2 linked regions of the Macaca mulatta genome follow. The protein of the gene in region 1 interacts with the protein of each later gene in a pairwise test. Links are inferred from orthologs where the notes say so. Each region holds a gene or a part of one and is shown in the gene's direction. Other genes may lie near its edges. The genes, in order: MS4A12 and PLLP.

Evidence for each region.
Region 2: the proteins of MS4A12 (region 1) and PLLP interact in binary tests that used the Homo sapiens proteins (3 or more experiments, as listed by UniProt). The two-hybrid records come from large-scale screens. The link is inferred for Macaca mulatta from reciprocal best matches to the Homo sapiens genes MS4A12 and PLLP.

Annotation. Positions count from the first base shown.
Region 1 is NC_133419.1:13,525,989-13,535,962, reverse strand, and holds part of MS4A12 (membrane-spanning 4-domains subfamily A member 12), read left to right. Parts: intron 1-1,166; 5' UTR 1,167-1,172; coding exon 1,173-1,451; intron 1,452-4,612; coding exon 4,613-4,750; intron 4,751-5,495; coding exon 5,496-5,552; intron 5,553-7,226; coding exon 7,227-7,343; intron 7,344-9,974. UniProt on the Homo sapiens protein: May be involved in signal transduction as a component of a multimeric receptor complex.
Region 2 is NC_133425.1:52,888,535-52,898,608, reverse strand, and holds the start of PLLP (plasmolipin), read left to right. Parts: upstream 1-5,138; 5' UTR 5,139-5,270; coding exon 5,271-5,405; intron 5,406-10,074. UniProt on the Homo sapiens protein: Main component of the myelin sheath that plays an important role in myelin membrane biogenesis and myelination. Plays an essential function in apical endocytosis. Regulates epithelial development through the regulation of apical endocytosis.

The DNA of each region.
Region 1 (9,974 bases):
AAATTTCTGGATTCCATGAGCACAGGGTCTGAATATGTGTCCCTGTTAGATACCAGTGAAACACTGTACCAATAGGTTATTCATAGTATTCATACTTCATACCAAGAATGAGACATTCATCACTGTAACTTTCTTGATACTCATAAGTACATGAAAAATTATTTGAGAAGACCTCAAAAAAAGGAATCTAAGGCTAATGACAAATTTTTTAAGTGTCATAATTTTTTTTCAAGAATTAATAGTCATTGTTGTCTATATCCAGTTGTATTGGCTTATTTCCAACAAAATTTCCCTTGGCTACATGGGGCCTGAGATGCTCTAAGCTTTCAGAAGGACAGAAATGAGTAAGAGCATTTTTCCTAAAGAACAGGAGAATCATCTTAAATGGGCATATGTGAACCATCTAGTTTCCCAATTACTGGCAAATAATTTCAATCTTGGACTGCCCTCTTTGCCATACAAGTATTGTATTACTTGGCCCCTGTATTAGTTTTCTATTTCTTGATATAACAAACTACCACAAACACAGTGGCCTAAAACAATATATTATTTTATCTGACAGTTGTGTAGGTCAGAAGTGCCATACCAGCTCACTAGACTAAGGTCAAGGTGTCAGTAGAGTCAGGTTCCTTCCTGGAGACTCTAGGAAGAATCTGTTTCCTTGTTTCATCCAGCTTCTAGAGGTGACCCACATTCCTTGATTCATGGACGCCTTCCTCCATCTTCACAATCAGCAGCATAGCATCTCTCTAATGAGAGATGGGTCCGGGATGAAACTGTTCCACCTCAGATCATCAGGCATTAGAGTCTCATAAGGAGCATGCAACCTAGATCCCCAGCATGTGCAGTTCACAGCAGGGTTCACGCTGCTATGAGAATCCAATGCCGTGCTGATCTGATAGGAGGCAGAGCACAGGCAGTAATGCTTGCCCGCTGCTTACCTCATGTAGTGTGGCCAGATTTCCAACAGACCACCGACGGGTACCAGTCCTTGGCCTGGGGGTTGGGGATTTATGAGAATCATGTTTCTATCAGATGTTATGGACCATTATCTGTCACTTGCTCTCTCCATTATCATAGATAATTGACATTTGATATTTGGTAAGATTTTCTTTAGTTTCTTTTCTGGATAAACGTATCACTTTGGTATGTTTTGTGATACTTAGGACATCATGGTGTCATCCAAGCCAACAAGCCATGCTGGAGTATATGAAACCACACCCAACCCTTACTACCCACCAAGCAGCTTTACGGCTCCTGGATCTCAACAGCCTCCGGGTTCAATCAACTTAGAAAACCAAGCTCAGGGTGCTCAGAGTGCTCAGCCCTACTTCATCACATCTCCAGGAACCTCTGCTGTCAGTCAACCAGGTCAAGGAAATACACAAATGATAAATCCAAGCGTGGGAAGAGCAGTAATAAACTTTAAAGAAGAAGCAAAGGTACTAGGGGTAAGTCTACTTACTACTAGAATTTTAAACTCACATTTGCAAGGTCTTCTTATAAGTTATAGGAGAAGAGAATATCATCCAATTGCTAAAAAGTTTTGAATGTTATTCTGAAACTATCCCTTTTAGACAGAAATATTTAGTCTGCCTATAGACTTTCCCTTGAGTTCATTTCATTTTAGATCAAGCAAAAATATAACAGGAGACAGAGGAGCCTCCCTAGCTGGAGGATTTGGTAATATTGACATGACGGAAACTCTACTACATCTAGCTTGATCTCATTTCTTCAAAGGACTTTTTGGACAATCTCAATCTCGTCTCCAGATTGGTTACAAGTCAGGTATTTGCATAAAGGTGAATTTACATAAAAATGAACATTGATGGCTGCCTCCAGAAAAGGAAACTACAAATGGGCAGTCTGGGAAAGGCTGAGTGTGAAAGAATTGGGGGACGTTCCATCTGTTGTGCCTCTCTCGCCAATATCCTTAGAGATGCTACAGCGTAACTGTCATCTTATTTCTACAAAGGAGACTCTGAACTGACCACCTTGTTTCTGTAGGCATTGTAAAAACAAAAATGCCCTATTTGTAAGAAAATTCCACCTGCCTAGGTAGAATTGTTACTCCCTTCGCTGTGCTTTCCAAATACCTCATTCATCCCGCTAGTACAATTCCACCAAACTATATTAAGTCTCTCCCTGTGAATAGCTTGAAATTCTCTGCTGGAGCATTCCGTAAATGAATGCTCATTATGTGCCAGAAAATCTTCTAGTCATCTTACTACCTATTTCAAGTTGTGATGTTTTAGGGAAGTAAAAATGAGCCTAAGTTCTCTTGCAGCAGCCTATTTACTAAGCTGTGGAGGTGGCCCTTCTGATCCTCCTCCTCCCAGATAGAGGAAATTCCCCACTTCTAATAAGCCAATGGGACAAACCCCCCATACAGCCAACCCCACATAGGTGCTTGGAATATATCACCGAGTACAAAGCAGGTGCAATCTCTGCCTTTACAGAACTTTTGCCCTAGTGGGGGAAATCAGACTGTAAACATAAGAAGGAAGTAAAGTACTTAGTGTATTAGAAGGTGTCGAATGATATGGACAAAACAAAGAAGTGTAAAAGGGCTAAAAAGTACCAGACAGTGAGGAGGCAGCAATTTCAAGGCGGTCAGAATGGGCTTTCCTTAGAACATGACATTTGAGCAAAAACCTGAAGTTAGGAGTGAGCCGTGCAGATATCAGGGAAAGTGAAAACAACCAGTGTAAAAGTCTTTAGATGAAAATATCTGTGATGTATTTGAAAAACAGGGAGAAGGCCAATAAAATAGAACAGAATGAGGGAGGGAGGGAGCAGTTGTCAGGAGGGCAGAGGAGTGGCAGAGGCCACAGCTGGTGAGGCCTGCAGAGCAGAAGGCTTTGGCTTTGACTAAGTGGATGACGAACCACTGAATCACGCTGCCTGGCACCAAAAAGGCGTGTGATAAAAATACTTTAAAAGACTATGAAGTTTTGTTTAAAGCTCCAGTTGGCAGAAGCTACTTCCTCTCTCTGAAGATTGTTATTTCTATACCATCAGCAGGCCCCAGGCATCACGACAGTGCAGGGGCCACAGGTGGCAGGACGTGGCACACCTGTACCAGTCAACTCAGACCTTAAAGTGCTTCTGTGTCCACAAATGCAGACAAATTGTATGTCCAAATTTTTAAGTGTGTCCTATAGGCAATTTTCATCAGTAAATGGTACAGCCAGGGCTGTAGGAGGAGAAATGAGGGCCAGTACAAATCCAGATCTAACTGTCCCTCATCAAGGTGACAGCAAGGATGAGGATGGGAAGTTTGTGGCCAGATGGCTAAATTGCTGCTCTAAAGAAGAGTTGTAAAAACCAAATATAAAGTCTAATACAGGAGTTCTTTAAGTGAGATAGGCTAAAGGAGGCCCATCATGCCTCTGAAACTATATGCAAAAGTATGGTATGTGTGTGTATGGAGGTGCAAGAATAATTTTTTAGGGAGAAAGGTTCACGGTTTTTATCAAAGTCTCAAGAAACTGTTAGCATTGTTTATAAAACTGGGTTTTTTTATTTTAATTCAATTTACTTGTGTTCAGTAGCTTTTTATTGAATAAATACAGCAGTCTTTGTATTTGCAGTCTTCCTGGATAGATAAGGTGTAAACATGGGGAAAAATAAATGACAAATCTACAGTCAACTTTTGGACCAATCTAGAAATGGTTATTCCTCAGAAATCTATCTTTATTTACAGTGAAGGAAGGTTCAATAAGAGGTACAAGGAGCTAAAAGATGCATACCTTACTTTTAGTAATATATGATTGGTAAGAAGAATGGTAAGAAAATGATTGCACACCTGCAACTTTTTAAAAGAGAACAATATCAATGAATACAAAATCAAGTAACAAGGTGTGTTTTATGTCATGAGATGCAACAGAAATTTAGAAAAAAAGAAAAAAGATTAATTTGGTGTAATCAAGAGGGCTTCATGGAAGAGGTAGAGCAGAGCTGAGCATGGGGGAAGACAGTACTGAATAGTTCAGACAGGCTCAGCAGTCAATGTGCTGCGGTAAATTCCCAGATCTGCCCCTCAGGAATTGCATGACCTTGGATACAAGGTCTCACATGTCTTTATGTCTCTGGGACTCAATCCAATTGTGGGAGGACTACATGAAACAATAAATGTAAAGTGTTCAGAACATGACTAAGCACATAATTCATGCCTTATAAATGGTTTTATCTTCACCAGTCCCTTTACCCGTAACTGGGATGACCCAAGCAGAGAACTGATCCATCTGAAAAAGCAACTACTGACATCACAGTTAAAGTATTTTTTTTCTAATAGTCTTTTAGAGGCCTTCAGAGATACTAACACATGATTAAGCAGCTGTACTTTCTGAAGAATTCTTCCTGGGCCACCCCAATAAGTCTCCCCAAATACCTCAAAACAAGGCGCTTCACTAAGGGCTACCTACACTCCAGTTATTCTAGTGTATGTCAGAATCTTCATGGCCCACCTCCTGCTTCAGATGCGTGCCTGAATGACAACCATGGATCTCAGCAAAATTGACAATCAATAAGCAGGGGCAGCAATGACAGTAACGTTTCACACGTCTGAAAGTGAAGAAGTAATTTTAAAATGGTTGTTTTCTTTTTTCAGGTAATCCAGATCATGGTTGGATTGATGCACCTTGGTTTTGGAATTATTTTGTGTTTAACATCATTCTCTTATAGAGGAGTATTCGGTTTTGCCTCTACTGCTGTTATTGGTGGATACCCGTTCTGGGGTGGCCTTTCTGTGAGTAGATTGCTAGAACACCACTCCTTCTTGGTTTATAAAGTATTGATATCTCCAGCCAATTCACAATTCATTTCTTGATAAAGCCCTACATCTGAGGGCTGGAGAATTTAGAAAAATTAACAGCTCTGAACGAGCATAAAAATATCGGGAACTTGTTCACCATTTTATATAGGAGCTTATTCCATTCTTTAAAATGTAATCATGTAACCAGCAAGCCAAAGTTTTGGTTTCCTACTACATTTGAGATGGAAATGTATGTATTGGGTGGAGAGAGAGAGAAAAAAAAAAAAGGTGATTGGAAACATGATTAAAAATATGCAAGTAAGTCAGGCATAGTGGTGTGTGATTGTAGTCCCAGCTACTTGGGAGGCTGAGGCCGGGGAATTGCTTGAGTTCAAGAGATTGAGGCCAGTCTGAGGAATATAGTGAGGCCCAACCTCTAAAAAAATTTTTTTTAATTAAAAAAATGCAATTGATTATGAGAAGGGATGGAGCGTAAGCCTCAGAACAAGGAATGCTTAGACATTACGAGTTCCTCATAGGCCAGAAATTAAGGAGAAAACAATAAAAAAGAAGTCAAGAACATACATGCCTGAGAGTTACCCAGAAAATTTAGAAGTGCAAGAGAAAATTTTGAGAAGGAAGCTAGATGAACGTAAATAGATCAACCTTTTGTATAAAGAGAAACTCCCAAGCACAACCAGTTAACCCATTTCTCAACTAAATTTGTCCATTTCCACAGTTCATTATCTCTGGCTCTCTTTCTGTGTCAGCATCTGAGGAGCTTTCCTCCTGTCTGGTAAGTTAGACTGTTTCTGCTTTTTGAACCCCTTTAATGATTAGCTTAACATACTGGGTAGGAAAATTGAAAAGCTGGATTTGGGAAATGCAAAAGAGAGCACTTTTCCCAAAAAAAATCTATTGGTTGCCTCATGGTCTGAGCGCTCGGGTAGGAGAGTGGTCCACACAGTCTGCCACTAAGAAATGGCAGAGTTCCACATCCTGACTCTTGAACTGACAAGGGTGAGAAGTAGTAAAGATCAGGGTCGTTTAAGCTTTAACCTGAAAGCTCCCTGGTTCAGTCAGGTCACACTCTATTATGGGAAGTCCAAAGGAGAATCCAGGAGCCAGGAAATACCTACTAGCCACATCAGTTACCAAGTCTCTACTGTTAATTTGCCACTTCTCAGCTCTGTCTTGTATTTTTATTTTCACATTTTTGCGTCTTTCCTACTCTTACTCAAGATTGGGTGTGTGTTTTACAATTCTTTAAACTGCCATTAAATGAATCTAGCCTGTTCCGTAAGAAGAGTTTATAAAAATGATCAGTAAGATGGGACCTTGAGTTCTGTTGGTCACAGCACCCCACCTATTGCAATTTCCTAGTCTACTATTGAACCAGGAAAAAGAAAGTGATTTACCATGAATTACAGTCAACTAGAGCAGAGGTGGTGTCAAAATTATATGTAATCCAGCACAAGAGGGAAGAATGGGGAAAGAGGAACACAGTAGTGTATAGCTCATGCTCTTCCAGACAAAACAAGAATAAAATAATTAAATCAAAATAAAATAAAATAAAATAAGCCTAATTCTGATTAACCACTCCTGTTGTAGTCCAAAAACAAAATAAAGCACCCTTTCTCTGCATCCTTTAAGGATCCTTCCCTCTAATTGAGATTGTCCAAGCATAGATTCCATCCTCTCAGAGGAGACAGCCACTGACACTTACCTAAGACAATTTTTCTAAGAGCTTTCAGAGACCATCAGGAGGCTCTAAGGCATGCTGCAGTACAAGCACATTCTAAAGAATTCAACTACGCCACCCCTAGCAAGTCAGCTGCAGATCTGCTTTCACAATTATTCTTCTGCATGTTAAAATCCTATTGTAGAAACTGGGGAAAGATTTGTAGTCACCCATACACCTTTGCCCACAAAAGCTTGAAGAGTTTCTCCTTCTAAATTTGGGGGTGCATATTTAGTTCCTAGAGAGACTTAGGGTTTTCATTAATTCCTAAATTTTTCAGCAAACATGTTGTGTCTAAATACCTTGCCATCTATAAAATCAGATGCTATCATACCACCTCATACAAAAGCTGTAAGAGTTAAGTGAGATAATTTAAATAATTTAACACAGTGTCTGCCACAGAAAAATGCTCATTAGAAGTTTTTTCATTGTTTATAAAGAAAATATAGTTGTTATTGTGCATGAGGCTTTTAGTAAAATACAATAGATGAGTGCCTGCTTTATATGATTTACATTTTTCTACAGCTTTTTACAAGTACCCTACATCTAGGCTGCATACAGAATAATGTTTATAGTAATTACCCAGAAGGGCAGAAAACAGAATAATTTCAACTTGAAAAATTGTTTTGAAAGTTCAAAAATTAAGAACCATGAAATTTGATTGATTCTTATTTCATTTAACTTCAGTGATCCTGTATATAATTGATTTTTGCCTGCCATCTCCACTAGGTGAAAGGCAGCCTGGGAATGAACATTGTTAGTTCTATCTTTGCCTTCATTGGAGTGATTCTGCTGGTGGTGGATATGTGCATCAATGGGACACCTAACCAAGACTATTGGGCCGTGGTAAGTATCCCATAATCCATCATGTGCTTGCTCTCTTTTCAGTCCTGTAAAGTGGGTCTATGTTTTATCTCTTAATACCATACACCAGCTCTAATGGAAAATCTTTTTTCTATTCTAGCCCCACCCCTAGTCATATGATCTCTAGGACTATAGAATAAAGTGAGAGGGTTACCTCTACAGATAGACGGAGGCTTAAAGGACATCCTTTATTGGCCCATCTCACTGTCAATCACATGAACAATGGGGAAGGGTTTCTAAAATTGTCCAAAAATTATTTTCCCAACATTTGAAATTCTATATAAATAAGGTAGTCAAGCTATTGAGTGTTTTTGGTTAAACTTCAGAGTAAAGTATGAAGTGAGAGGTAAATGACAGGGATGAGAACATCCGATTTTTACAGAGAAACCCAAGGAATGAAGCAATTGCAAAATGAAGCACATGCCTCTGAATGTGCTCAAAACAGAATCACACATTCATTAGCCTTATACAGCCAAGCATGGACTCCGACCTTAGGAGGAAATGGGTGGCCCGAGGGCAGGAATGCTTACCATCTATAAGGAATGGAGGAACACGGTATAAAATGAGGTTGGACTGGAAGCTGTCATTCTACCTCAGTGGCCAATTAAGAAGTTTGGTCTTCGTTCTGTGAGCAATGGAAAACCACAGAAGAGTGGTTTTATAGGTTTTGTTTTATTTTATGTTGGGGTTGGTTTTGCTTTTGCTTTTCAGTTTACAAAAAGCAGAGTTTATTAAATTACTGTGGGATACATATATCTTAAGAAAGACACAGAATGACTTCCTTGTATATCAAGAACATGTTAACATTAAGACAATATCACAATATTTTGAACAAATAAACACAATAACATTTCCCTTATCAGTTCACTCAGTACTGTGTAAGTAATTCTGTTCCACGTGATCTCAGAGTGGCAGGCTTATGAAGCCATCTGCTTCTCAACTAAAGGGTTCTGAAATCCTGACTCCAACCGTTGGTATAATCTGAAAGTTGTCTAAGCACTCCCATCAGATGCCTGTCCCCTAGAGTATGTTCTTTGAAGTGTCAATAGTTTGAATTGCTGGCACACTCCTTTTCCACCAAGTTCTGAGACAATCCTTCTTTGTTAAAAACGTAGAAGAGTTTTAGGTCAGGAATTTGAATGATCACTTTTGTGCTTGCAAAGGACAACACTGTTTGCAGCATAAGGAAAAGCTTATATAAGAAGGTATATTCAGTTGTTTTCACACTGCTGATAAAGAAATACCAAAGACTGGGGGAAAAAAAAGGGGTTTAACGAGCTTAGAGTTCCATACGGCTGGGGAGGCCTCACAATCATGGCAGAAGGCAAGGAGGAGCAAATCATGTCTTATATGAATAGGGGCAGGCAAAAAAAAAATAGAGCTTGTGCAGGGAAACTCCTGTTTTTTAAAACCATCGGATCTCATGAGACCCATCCACTATCACAAGAATAGCATGGGAAAGACCCGCCCTCATAATTCAATCATCTCCCACCAGGTTCCTCCCACAACAAGTGGGAATTATGGGAGCTACAAGATGAGATTTGGGTGGGGACACAGAGTCAAACCATATCAGGAGGCAAAAAAAGATGAGAAAGCTTCTTGGTAAATAAGGCAGAGTGAAGCAAGAACAAAATTCATCCTCCAAAATACCAAACAAAAGAACAAAAATTATTCAAAATAACAGCTTTCAAACTGGCATCCAAGTAGAGAAAATAATCATTCTGATGCTACCCAAAGTATCTGAAAAAAAGCACAGCTTTTAGATCTCGCTCTTGTTTCCCTAGAAACAAAACTAAGGAAAGAAGGGAAGCCAAAAAAATTACTGAGAAGTCTCACTAACACTCTCGAGTCTGTAGCTGAGAAGGCTGGGGTGGAGAGCAGTCAATTCTGCGAAAGGATAAAGCAAATCCTGTATGGTACAAGACCATGGGTAGTACCCAGGACCTCAGGAGACAGAAGAAAGGGCAACACCTTCCCATACCCTGCATGGTACCCTGCTACCAGCAGGGAATGAGCAGAAATGCACAGGAATAAACCTCCAGTCAAGGAGCAGGCCTCCATACTAAGCATTTAGCAGGCTCTCAGAAGACAGAAAAAGCAAAGTCCATGTTCACTAGCAAGAACTGTGCTCGGGGCCAGCTAAGCTATATCTCTCCCTGCAACAGCTATATGTTTACATTTAGAAACATGGATATGAAACAACAGCTAGGGCTCATGTTGTAATGGAAGCAAGGAAGACAAATGGGACCCAAATAAACAGAAGTGTGAATGAAGGAAATTTACCTACACTGTATCTGATCAAGTAGAAGGCCTGTATAGAGTTCAAGTGAGCTTAACACTTTTACTTAAAATCGAAATAACATGATTCCGTTCTTACAGATTGATGCTCCTCTCTCTTGGTCTCTGTTTCTTCCTCTCTCACGGCATCTTTCCACACATCCATTCTTCTGCCTTTTCCCCGTACACACAGCGCTAGGATAACAGTCATCAAACATTAGTTTTGGTTATTTCTAAGCAGCGGCATTTTGAATGATCCATTGGTTTCTATATTGCTTGACTTTTTTAACATTTTTATAAAAAAAAAAACGAGGCCGTCACAAAAGAAAAAAAAAC
Region 2 (10,074 bases), on another chromosome or scaffold:
AGCCCAAAGCAGGCAGATCACGAGATCAGGAGATTGAGACCATCCTGGCTAACATGGAAACCCCATCTCTACTAAAAATACAAAAAAATTAGCCAGGCGTGGTGGCGGGCGCCTGTGGTCCCAGCTACTCCGGAGGCTGAGGCTGAGGCTGAGGCAGGAGAATGGCGTGAACTCAGAAGGCGGAGCTTGCAGTGAGCCAAGATCGCGCCACTGCACTCCAGCAAGGGCGACAGAGCGAGACTCCATCTAAAAAACAACAACAACAACAAAACACTCCAGGCCTTAAAATAAAATGTTAGCCCTTCTCCATCATTGTGGTAGGCTGTATAATAGCCACTAAAAGATATAAGTGGCTCATGCACTTTGGGAGGTCAAGGCAGGAGGATTGCCTGAGCTCAAGTTCGAGACCAGCTGCGCATCATGGTGAAACCCAGTCTTTACAAAAAATACAAAAAATAGCCAGTCATGGTGGCTCAAGGACCTGTGGTCCCAGCTACTCAGGAGGCTGAGGCAGGAGGATTGCTTGAACCCTGGAGGCGGAAGTTGTAGTGAGCCGAGATGGCACCATTGCACTCCAGCCTGGGCAACAGAGTAAGACTCTGTCTCAAACAAACAAATGAACAAAACAGATCCTAATTCTTGGAACCAGTCCATCTCACCTTATAAAGTAATAAGGTCTTTACAGATTAAGTGACTAAATTAAGATTCCTTTTCTTTTTTTTTTCCTTTTGAAACAGGGTCTTGCTCTGTCACCTTGCAGAGCGCAAAAACATGCAGAGGCAAAAACATGACTCACTGTAGCCTCAATCTCCTGGGGCTTAAGCAATCCTCCTACCTCAGCCTCCTGAGTAGCTGGGACCACAGGTGTGCACCACCACACCCTGTCAATTTTTTTTTTTTTTTTTTTAGAGACAGGGGTCTTTGCTATGTTGCCCAGGCTGGTCTCGAACTCCTGAGCCAAACCCATCCTCCTGCCTTGGCTTCCCAAAGTGCTAGGTTTACAGGCATGAGCCACCATGCCCAGTCTCAAATTAAGATTCTGTATTTGGGGAAGACTATCCTGGAGTATCTGGGTGGCCCTAACCCAATCATAAGTGTCCTTATAAGAGAGGCAGACAAAGATGTTATACATACAGAAGAGGAGGAGGCCATGTGAAGTAGGAGGCAGAGACAGGGTCGATGCAGTCATAGGTTGAGGAGTGCCAGCAGCACCCACCAGGGTTGGAAGAACAAGGATAGGATTCTCCTCTAGACCCTGCAAAGGGAGCATGACCCTTGGGACACCTGATTTTGGCTTTTCCCAAGTTTTGGAAGATTTTGGCTCAGTGAAACTGATTTCAGACTTCTGGCCTCAGAACTATGGGAGAGTAAATTTCTGGTTTTTCTTTTCTTTTCTTTTCTTTCTTTCTTTTTTTTTTTTTTGAGACAGTTTCACTCTTGTTGCCCAAGCTGGAGTGCAATGGCTCCATCTCGGCTCACTGCAACCTCTGCCTCCCAGGTTCAAGTGATTCTCCTGCCTCAGCCTCCCCCCGAGTAGCTGGGATTACAGGCGTGCACCACCATGTCTGGCTAATTTTTTGTATTTTTAGTAGAAACAGGGTTTCGCCATGTTGGCCAGGCTGGTCTCTAACTCCTGACCTCAGGTGATCCGCCTGCCTCAGCCTCCCAAAGTGCTGGGATTACAGGCATGAGCCACCATGCCTGGCCACATTTCTGTTGTTTTAAGTCACCAAGTTCATGGCAACTTATAGCAGCCACAGGGCACTAATACAACCCTCTAAATAGCCCTGTGTGATCTGGCCCTGGCCCATGTTGCCGATCTCACCCTTACTCACTTGGCTGTAGCCCCACCAAGGACCTTTTTCTGTTCTCAAAACTGGTCCAGCCTCAGGGCTCCTGCACTTATTAAATTCTTCCCCCAGATTTCCCAAGGCTAGCCCCTACTCATGATTTGGGTCTCTGCATAAATGTCACCTCTTCCCACAGGTCTTTCTTGACCACCTTAACCCAGAAATCACCTGTGGGTGACTCTGTGTCACATTCCCCCATTTTACTTTAGTCACAGCATTTGTCACTATCTGAAAGTATTATTCCTCCCTGGTTTATTACTTCTCATCCCCATCAGACAGTGGGATCCAACGACTGAAATCCTGTCATTTGTGGCAACACAGATGAACCTGGAGGACATCATGAGAGTAAAATAAGCCATGCATAGAAAGACAAACACCACATAGTCTCTCATATATGTGGAATGAAATAAAGAAGTTGATCTCGGCCAGGTGCAGTGGCTCACGCCTATAATCAATCCCAGCACTTTGGGAGGCCGAGGCGGGCGGTTCACCTGATTTCAGGAGTTTGAGACTAGTCTGGTGAACATGGTGAAACCCTGTCTCTACTAAAATTACAAAAAAATTAGCTGGGTGTGCTGGCGGGCGCCTGTTATCCCAGCTACTCAGAAGGCTGAGGCAAGAGAATCGCTTGAACCTGGGAGGCAGAGGTTGCAGTGAGCCGAGGTCACGCCACTGCACTCGAGCCTGGGCAACAAGAGCAAAACGCCACCTCAAATAAATAAATAAATAAATAAATAAATCGATCTCATAGTAGAGTAGAATAGTGGTTACAGGAGGCTGGGGTGTAGTGGGAGGATAGAGACAGATTGGTTAACAGGTACAAAATTACAGTTAGGGCTGGGCATGGTGGTTCACACCTGTAATTCCAGCACTTTGGAAGGTCAAGGCGGGTGGATCACTTGAGGCCAGGAGTGTGAAACCAGTCTGGGCAACATAGTGAGACCCCATCTCTACAAAAAATTTTTTACAACTTAGTTGGGACTGGGTTCGGTGGCTTATGCCTGTAATCCCACCACTTTGGGAGGCCGAGATGGGCAGATCACCAGGTCAGGAGTTTAAGACCAGCCTTGCCAACATGTTGAAACCCAGTCTCTACTACAGATACAAAAAGTTAGCCGGGCGTGGTGGCTTAAGCCTGTAATTCCAGCAAGACTCCATCTCAAAAAAAAAAAAAAATTAGCTGGGCTTGGTGGCATGCATCAGTAGTCTTAGCTACTAGGGAGGCTGAGGTGAGAAGATCGCTTGAGCCTGGGGGTTGGAGGCTGCAGTAAGCTATAATCATGCCACTGCCCTCCAGCCTGGGTGACAGAGTGAGACCTCACCTCAAAATAAATAAAAGGAAAAAGTAAAAACTACCAATATTGCACATTTCTTTTTTTTTTTTTTTTTTTTTACATGGAGTCCTGCTCTGTCACCCAGGCTCTGGAGTGCAGTGGCACGATCTCGGCTCACTGCAACCTCCCTGGGTTCAAGTGATTCTCCTGCCTCAGCCTCCCGAGTAGCTGGGACTACAGGCACCCGCCATCCTGCCTGGCTAATTTTTTTATATTTTTGTAGACGCAGGGTTTCACCATGTTGACCAGGATGGTCTCGAACTCATGACCTTTGGTGATCTCCCCGCTTTGGCTTCCCAAAGTGATGGGATTATAGGCGTGAGCCACCGCACCTGGCCCTAGTATTGTATATTTCAAAATACAGTAGCTAGAAGTGGGGATTTTGAATGTTCTCACCCCAAAGAAGCCATAAATGTATGAGGTGATGGATATGCTAAGTACCTTGATTTGATTTTTTACACAATGTACACAGGTACCAAAACATCACATGGTACTCCACATCTAGGTACAATAATAGGTTGCTGCAAAAGTAATTGCGGTTTTTGCTATTACTTTTAAATGCAAAAAAACAAAATAACTTTTCCACCAACCTAATATTACATGTCAATTAAAAACAATTTTTTAAGTGGCTCTCCTTGAAGTGTAGGTATTTGGGGAAAAAAAATGTGGGAGCCAAGAAGGTCTTGTCTAGTTCGTTTCCACAGGGCCTGGCATGTAGTAGGTGTTCAGCAAACATTGGTTGATGAATGCATGAATGACCTATCTGTGCAAACCTGTAGGCTCAAGGGGTGTGTGTGTGTGTGTGTATATGTCTAAGGATTTTAGGGTGCATGTGTGGCAATGAAACTGTAACCTCGATATGACCTCCCACCTGAGTGACCCCTCCTCCCTCATGCTGTCAGGAACTTTCTACGGAATATTTCATTTACTCTCTACAACGCTCTGTGAGGTTAAGTTTCCTTCAAATCTATATTACAGACGAGGAAACTGAGGCTCCGCGATCATCTAGGTTATATAAAATATGTTCAGAAGTGAAAACTGCATTAATAGGCAGAAAAGGACCTCCCCCTTCTCCTGCGCACCCACCCCTGGGAGCGGGGTCTCCTGGGACACTCTTCTATAAACTACAGAAAGGCGGCCGGGCGCGGTGGCTCACGCCTGTAAACCCAGCACTTTGGGAGGCCGAGGTAGGCGGATCATGAGGTCAGAAATTCGAGAACAGCCTGGCCAATATGGTGAAACCCTGTCTCTACTAAAAATACAAAAAAAAAAAAAAAAAAAAAAAAAAATTAGCCAAGCGTGGTGGCGCGCGCCTGTAGTCCCAGCTACTCGGGAGGCTAAGGCAGGAGAATCACTTGAACCTGGGAAGTGGAGGTTGCAGTGAGCCGTGATTGCGCCACTGCACTCTAGCCTGTGCGACAGAGTGAGACTCTGTCTCAAAAGAAAAAAAAAAAAAATACAGGGTCTCACTGTGTTACCCAGGCTGGTCTCGAACTCTTGGCCTGAAGTTATCCTTTCACCTTAGCCTCCCAAAGTGCTCGGATCAGAGGCAGGAGCCACTGCATCCGGCCCCCCCGGGACTCTCCAAGAGTCGCTGCGCAGGGCCTAGGCCGAGGGTGCACAGCGCGCAGGAAGCGCCTGGGAGAGCGGTGCCCCCCGCGAGCCATCACCAGTTTATCCCTAGGCGCCGAAGCCACCACGGCTTGGGCGAGTGCCAGGAAATTCCCAGCAGGCGGTTTGCCCCGGGCGAGGCCGGCGAAGCGGTCTGGGTTGGTGCTGGCGGAGCAGATTCACGGACCCGGGGTTGTTTACTGGTCCCGGGAGTGGACGCGGCTGCCCACGAACCTGTCGCGGCTGGAGCGGCGGCGGCGAGCAAAGGGTTAAGGGGGCGGCCCTGGTGGCGGGGGCGGGGCTGGGATCTCGGCTGCACCTGGCGCCCCAGGCTCCCAGCCCCGACGCCTCCTGCAGCTCCGGGAGCAGCACCGGGATCGGGAGCCTTGGGGAAGAGCGGCGCGGGAGCCGGCACCCACCGCTGGAGGGGCGGCGACGGCGGCCGGAGCGACCTCGGGAGGCAAGCGGAGCCGCCATGGCCGAGTTCCCGTCGAAAGTGAGCACGCGGACCAGCAGTCCTGCGCAGAGCGCCGGGGCCTCGGTGTCGGCGCTGCGCCCGGACCTGGGCTTCGTGCGCTCCAGCCTCGGGGCGCTCATGCTGCTGCAGCTGGTGAGAGCGCGCGCGGGCCCACGGGTCTGGCCGGGGGCTCCTGGTCTGGCCGGAATGGGTGAGGGACTCCGGCGCTGCGTTCATTCTTCGCGAACCTTGCGCTCCCCACCCGGGCTCACAAGCTCACCGAAGCGCTGCGCGTACCCCTAGGACGCTTCCCGCACGGACGTCCTCAAGATGGCCCTGCAACCCTCTCACCACGAGACTCCCCCGTGGCCGTCCCTGCGAGTGACACTACAGAGTAGGGCCGTCCCTACTCTGTGCACCGTGTACAGAGTGCCCACTGCCCGTGCCCCATCGTGCCCCCTCCAAGGTGGTTACCAGCGGCCACAGAGAAGCCCCCACTGGAGCCACAGTCACTGCGCACAATCCCCCAACCCTTCCCACCCCTCCCTTCCCTCCTTTCTCTTTTTCACCCCTCTTTCTGCCCCGACAGTGCCCCCAGCCCTCCAGGGAACCCAGTCTGAGGCAAAGTCCACTCTCTAACCACCTTCTGCTCCCAGCGGCTCCGCGTGGCCGCACCCCAGAACATTCCTCATCTAATCTAGAGGGCACATCCGGCCCCCCAACACGCACACTCAGGCACTAAACTGTGGGCGCCCGCGCAGGAGCCGGGCTCTTCTAGCTTTCTCTGGGTGACGCGCCAGGTTTCAGCTGGTTTGGCTAGCCCCACGGGGCCTAGATATCGCACCCTGCGCCGGAGGGAGGGGTTTGTGGGTAGCCAGGGGCAAGACTTCTACTCTCTCCCAGAGCCCTGTACAGACCCCAACTGAGGCGGACCCATGGGAACATCCTCCACTCCCAGCCACAGGCCCGGATGTTAGCTGCTGCTTCTGCCACCCTTTCGTGAGGGTCTGGAAGCTGGGTGGGTACCCTGGGTGGGTGAGGGCCTGATACATTTTCAGAGGACTCGGGTGGATTTGGAGTTGGGCCGGGACCTATTTTCCTTTGCAATCCAGCAAGTGGACATTTCCCACTGTCTCCTACTGCTGGGTGCTAGCAGGGCTGCCAGGCCCGAGCTGGAGGGCAGGGTGGTCGCTTTGGTGCCAGACGCTGGGCTGAGGTCCAGTCTCCCTCCGCTGACCTCTCCAGGTGCGGGCCCACCTCCACCTGGGTCAGTGCTATCTCATTTCAGGATTTCTCAGGTCTCTGTGGGCCCCCTCCGCAGCCTCTTAATCATCCTGGCGGGTTTGTTTAAAATTTAGATTATTGGACTCCACCCCCGGAAAAAATGTGCAATTGGAATTTGAATCTCAGGAAGTATAGCCAGAAATCTACATTTTTAACACTTCTCCCAGAGTTTTGTTTGTTTCTCTTTTGTTGGGGGGGGGGAGAAGATTCTATCTTCTGAGGGAAGAGGTCTAGTTCCTGGAATGATTTAATTCTGCAGATGGGGAGAGCCACTGACCCCGCCACTGCTGGAGTGCTGGGCTCTGAGATGGTGGTGAGGGGCACAGCCATGAGCAGCTGCCAGGCTGCCCAGGGGAGAGCCAGGTGGGTGTGAGAAGTGGTGCAAAAGGGCAGAGGAGGAGGAGAGCAATTCCACGACCAGGAAGGCTTCTTGGAGGAGGTGTTTTTTGAGCAGAGACTTCACTGAAATCTGAGGCAGAGGCAGGGAAAGGGTGTTCCAAGGGCAGGGAACAGTGTGAGCGAAGATGTAGTGATGAGAAAGTTGAATTAATTTGCAGGGAGTAACCAACAGGTTGGTGGTGCTGGAGTTGAAGCACTTGTTTCTGATGTGGACAGAAGCCAAGGGCCTTGTGTAATCTCTGCAAGCCACAGGGTCTAGGGTCTGTTGGTGACCTTAAGAGGTTTTGGAACAGAAGAGGGATCTTGCTGGGTGGAGGATGATGACCAGCAAGATCCCTGTGAGGGATCCCTCAGCATGCCTGGTGAGGGGGATCCTGAGGCTGGCCCCTGACGGACAGGAGGATTGCTTGTGGCCAGAAGTTCAAGACCAGCCTGGGCAACATATTGAGACCCTGTCTTTACAAAAAAAGGAAAAAAAAAAAAAAAATAGCCAGGCATGGTGGCATGTACCTGTGGTCTCAGCTACTTGGGAGGCTTGTGCCTGGGAGTTCGAGGCTACCGTGACTTTGATTGCACCACTGCACTCCAGCCTAGGTGGATGAGACTTTGTCTCAAAAAAAAAGAAAAGAAAGAAAGAGACTAACAATAGGGAGAATGGAAGACATTGGAGTAAGAGGAGGATGTTGCTGTGGGCTGCAAGGGTCTTGGTAGCTTCTTCTAGAGAAGGCTTGTTTTCCTGATTGGGGGGTGGGGGCGCATCCCTTGTGGGCTCAGCAATCCAGCCCTGAGCATCTGGGTCCCATTACATAAATGTAGACATTGAGGTCTAGGTAGAAGGACTCACCAGGAGTCCTGTAATAGAGCTTGGCACTTGGGTCTCTTGACTCTCAGGGACTGGGTGTGAGGGGAAGTGGGCTCCTTTTGCTCCCTACCTGCAGTGCCTTTGGGAGGATGAGGGTCTCCCATTAGAGTTCTGAAAATGACCTGCACATTTTAGTGCCTTAGAAATCTGCTTGTTGGGGCCAGGTGTGGTGGCTCACGCCTGTAATCCCAGCACTTTGGGAGGCCGAGGCGGGCGGATCACAATGCAGGAGATCGAAACCATCCTGGCTAACACGGTGAAACCCCATCTCTACTAAAAATACAAAAAATTAGCCGGGTGTGGTGGCGGGCACTTGTAGTCCCAGCTACTGGGGAGGCTGAGGCAGGAGAATGGTGTGAACCCGGGAGGTGGAGCTTGCAGTGAGCTGAGATCATGCTACTGCACTCCAGCCTGGGCGACAGAGTGAGACTGTCTCAATAAAAAAGGAGAAATCTGCTTGTTGGAGAAGCTGCATCCTGAGCTGTTTCTCTGGCAACAGATAGTTCTACTGGGTCTGAAATGGGGTATGTGGGCGTTCATCCAACAGGCACCGCCATCTGCTGGGAAGCCATCGTAGCTCCCATCTATCAGGCCAGCACTAGGCTCAGGCCCTTTGCCAAGGGCTTTAGATCCTCTTAGTCGGCCCCATTTTACAGGTGAGGAAACTAAGGCTCAGAGGTCAGTTCTTTGCCCAAGATCTCACAGCCCTCCTCACAGGAGTGATTTTTCTGACTTTTCTGGCCCATGGTCTTAATGACCACATGTGGCTTTGCTGCTACCTTCCCAGGGTTTGTCATAGAGGGAGTGGTGGGGACCCCGGGCCCAGTGCCCACTTTCCAGGAGCTCTTGGTCAGTGAGAGAGGTGCCCAGAGGATGTGCTTCTCCCAGAGGGATCGGAGAAGGCTGCATGGAGCAGGAAATAAATGAGAAGATGAAAGCTAATTCCCCATCAGACCCCTCTGTTTCCCAGGATTTGATGAATGTTCCTGGTGTGCTGGGAGGAAGGGGAAGTGGGTAGAAAAGCCTCCAGCTCCTGGAGAAGGAGATACACTTTTCATTCAGCATCAGAATGTGTCCTGAAGAACCAGCCTCAGTATTCTTCACAGATGTCTGGTGGTGGTCATTGATTTATCACTATCCTTATTCCTTGTAGATTCAGAAAGAACACCAAATGGAATATGATATTAAATCACATAAGACAGAAGAGTTAAAGCAATGTGTCTTTAAAAGCTGGTAGTGTGGAGGGGAGAATTGACTTGCAGCAAGTTTGAGGCTGTTGATTCTTTGTTGAACTTCCTAGCAGCCTAGGCAAAAAGGGAAACGAAGAATCTATGCAGATAGCCTCTAAAAAAGGAGGCAGGTCTTTGTTTTTTTTAATTTATTTTTTCTGACCAGTGGATTCATGTCACAAGGCATGCAAGTTTGATTTACAGACAACTCTTTTGGTTAAAAAAAAAAAAGGCCTCAGTGCTATACATTTTTGTGTGACTCAGGTCACACAATGCAGAAGGCGTGGTTATTTGTTTAAGGGGAGCTCCCAAAGTCTTTTTTTTTTTTTTTTTTTTTTTTTTTTTGAGGCGGAGTCTTCACTCTGTCGCACAGGCTGGAGTGCAGTGGCACCATCTCAGCTCACTGCAAGCTCCGCCTCCCAGGTTCGCGCCATTCTCCTGCCTCAGCCTCCCGAGTAGCTGGGACTACAAGCGCCCGCTACCGCGCCCGGCTAATTTTTTGTATTTTAGTAGAGACGGGGTTTCACCGTGTTAGCCAGGATGGTCTCGATCTCCTGACCTCGTGATCCGCCCGCCTCGGCCTCCCAAAGTGCAGGGATTACAGGCGTGAGCCACCGCGCCCGGCCCCAAAGCCTTTTTACAATAAGTATAAAGTAGTGCTATTAGGTGCCCATCTCTTATTTTTTCAAGCCTCCCCAAGCCGTGGGGAGAAGGATGATCTTATCTGGATTTATTAATAAGTAAATAGGCTCAGAGAGGGTGAGGAACTTGTCCAAGGTCACACAGGATAGAGTGACAGCTTGGCTTTGCACTTTGATCTGGAAATCCAAAACCTGACTCTAGCTATGCTTCCTCATCTTGTTTATTTTGGGGGTATGAAGTTCTAGAGTGCTTTGGAGGGGTAAAAGGGGGACTTCAGGAAGGGAGACTCATCAGGGGCCAAGGCCATCAGAGACGGCTTCCTGCCATAGGAAGGGAGAAGGAGGATCAGGACAGACCAGAGCTTGTACAGAGACCTGTCAGTCAGTAGGCGCCCTTGAGGCCCAGG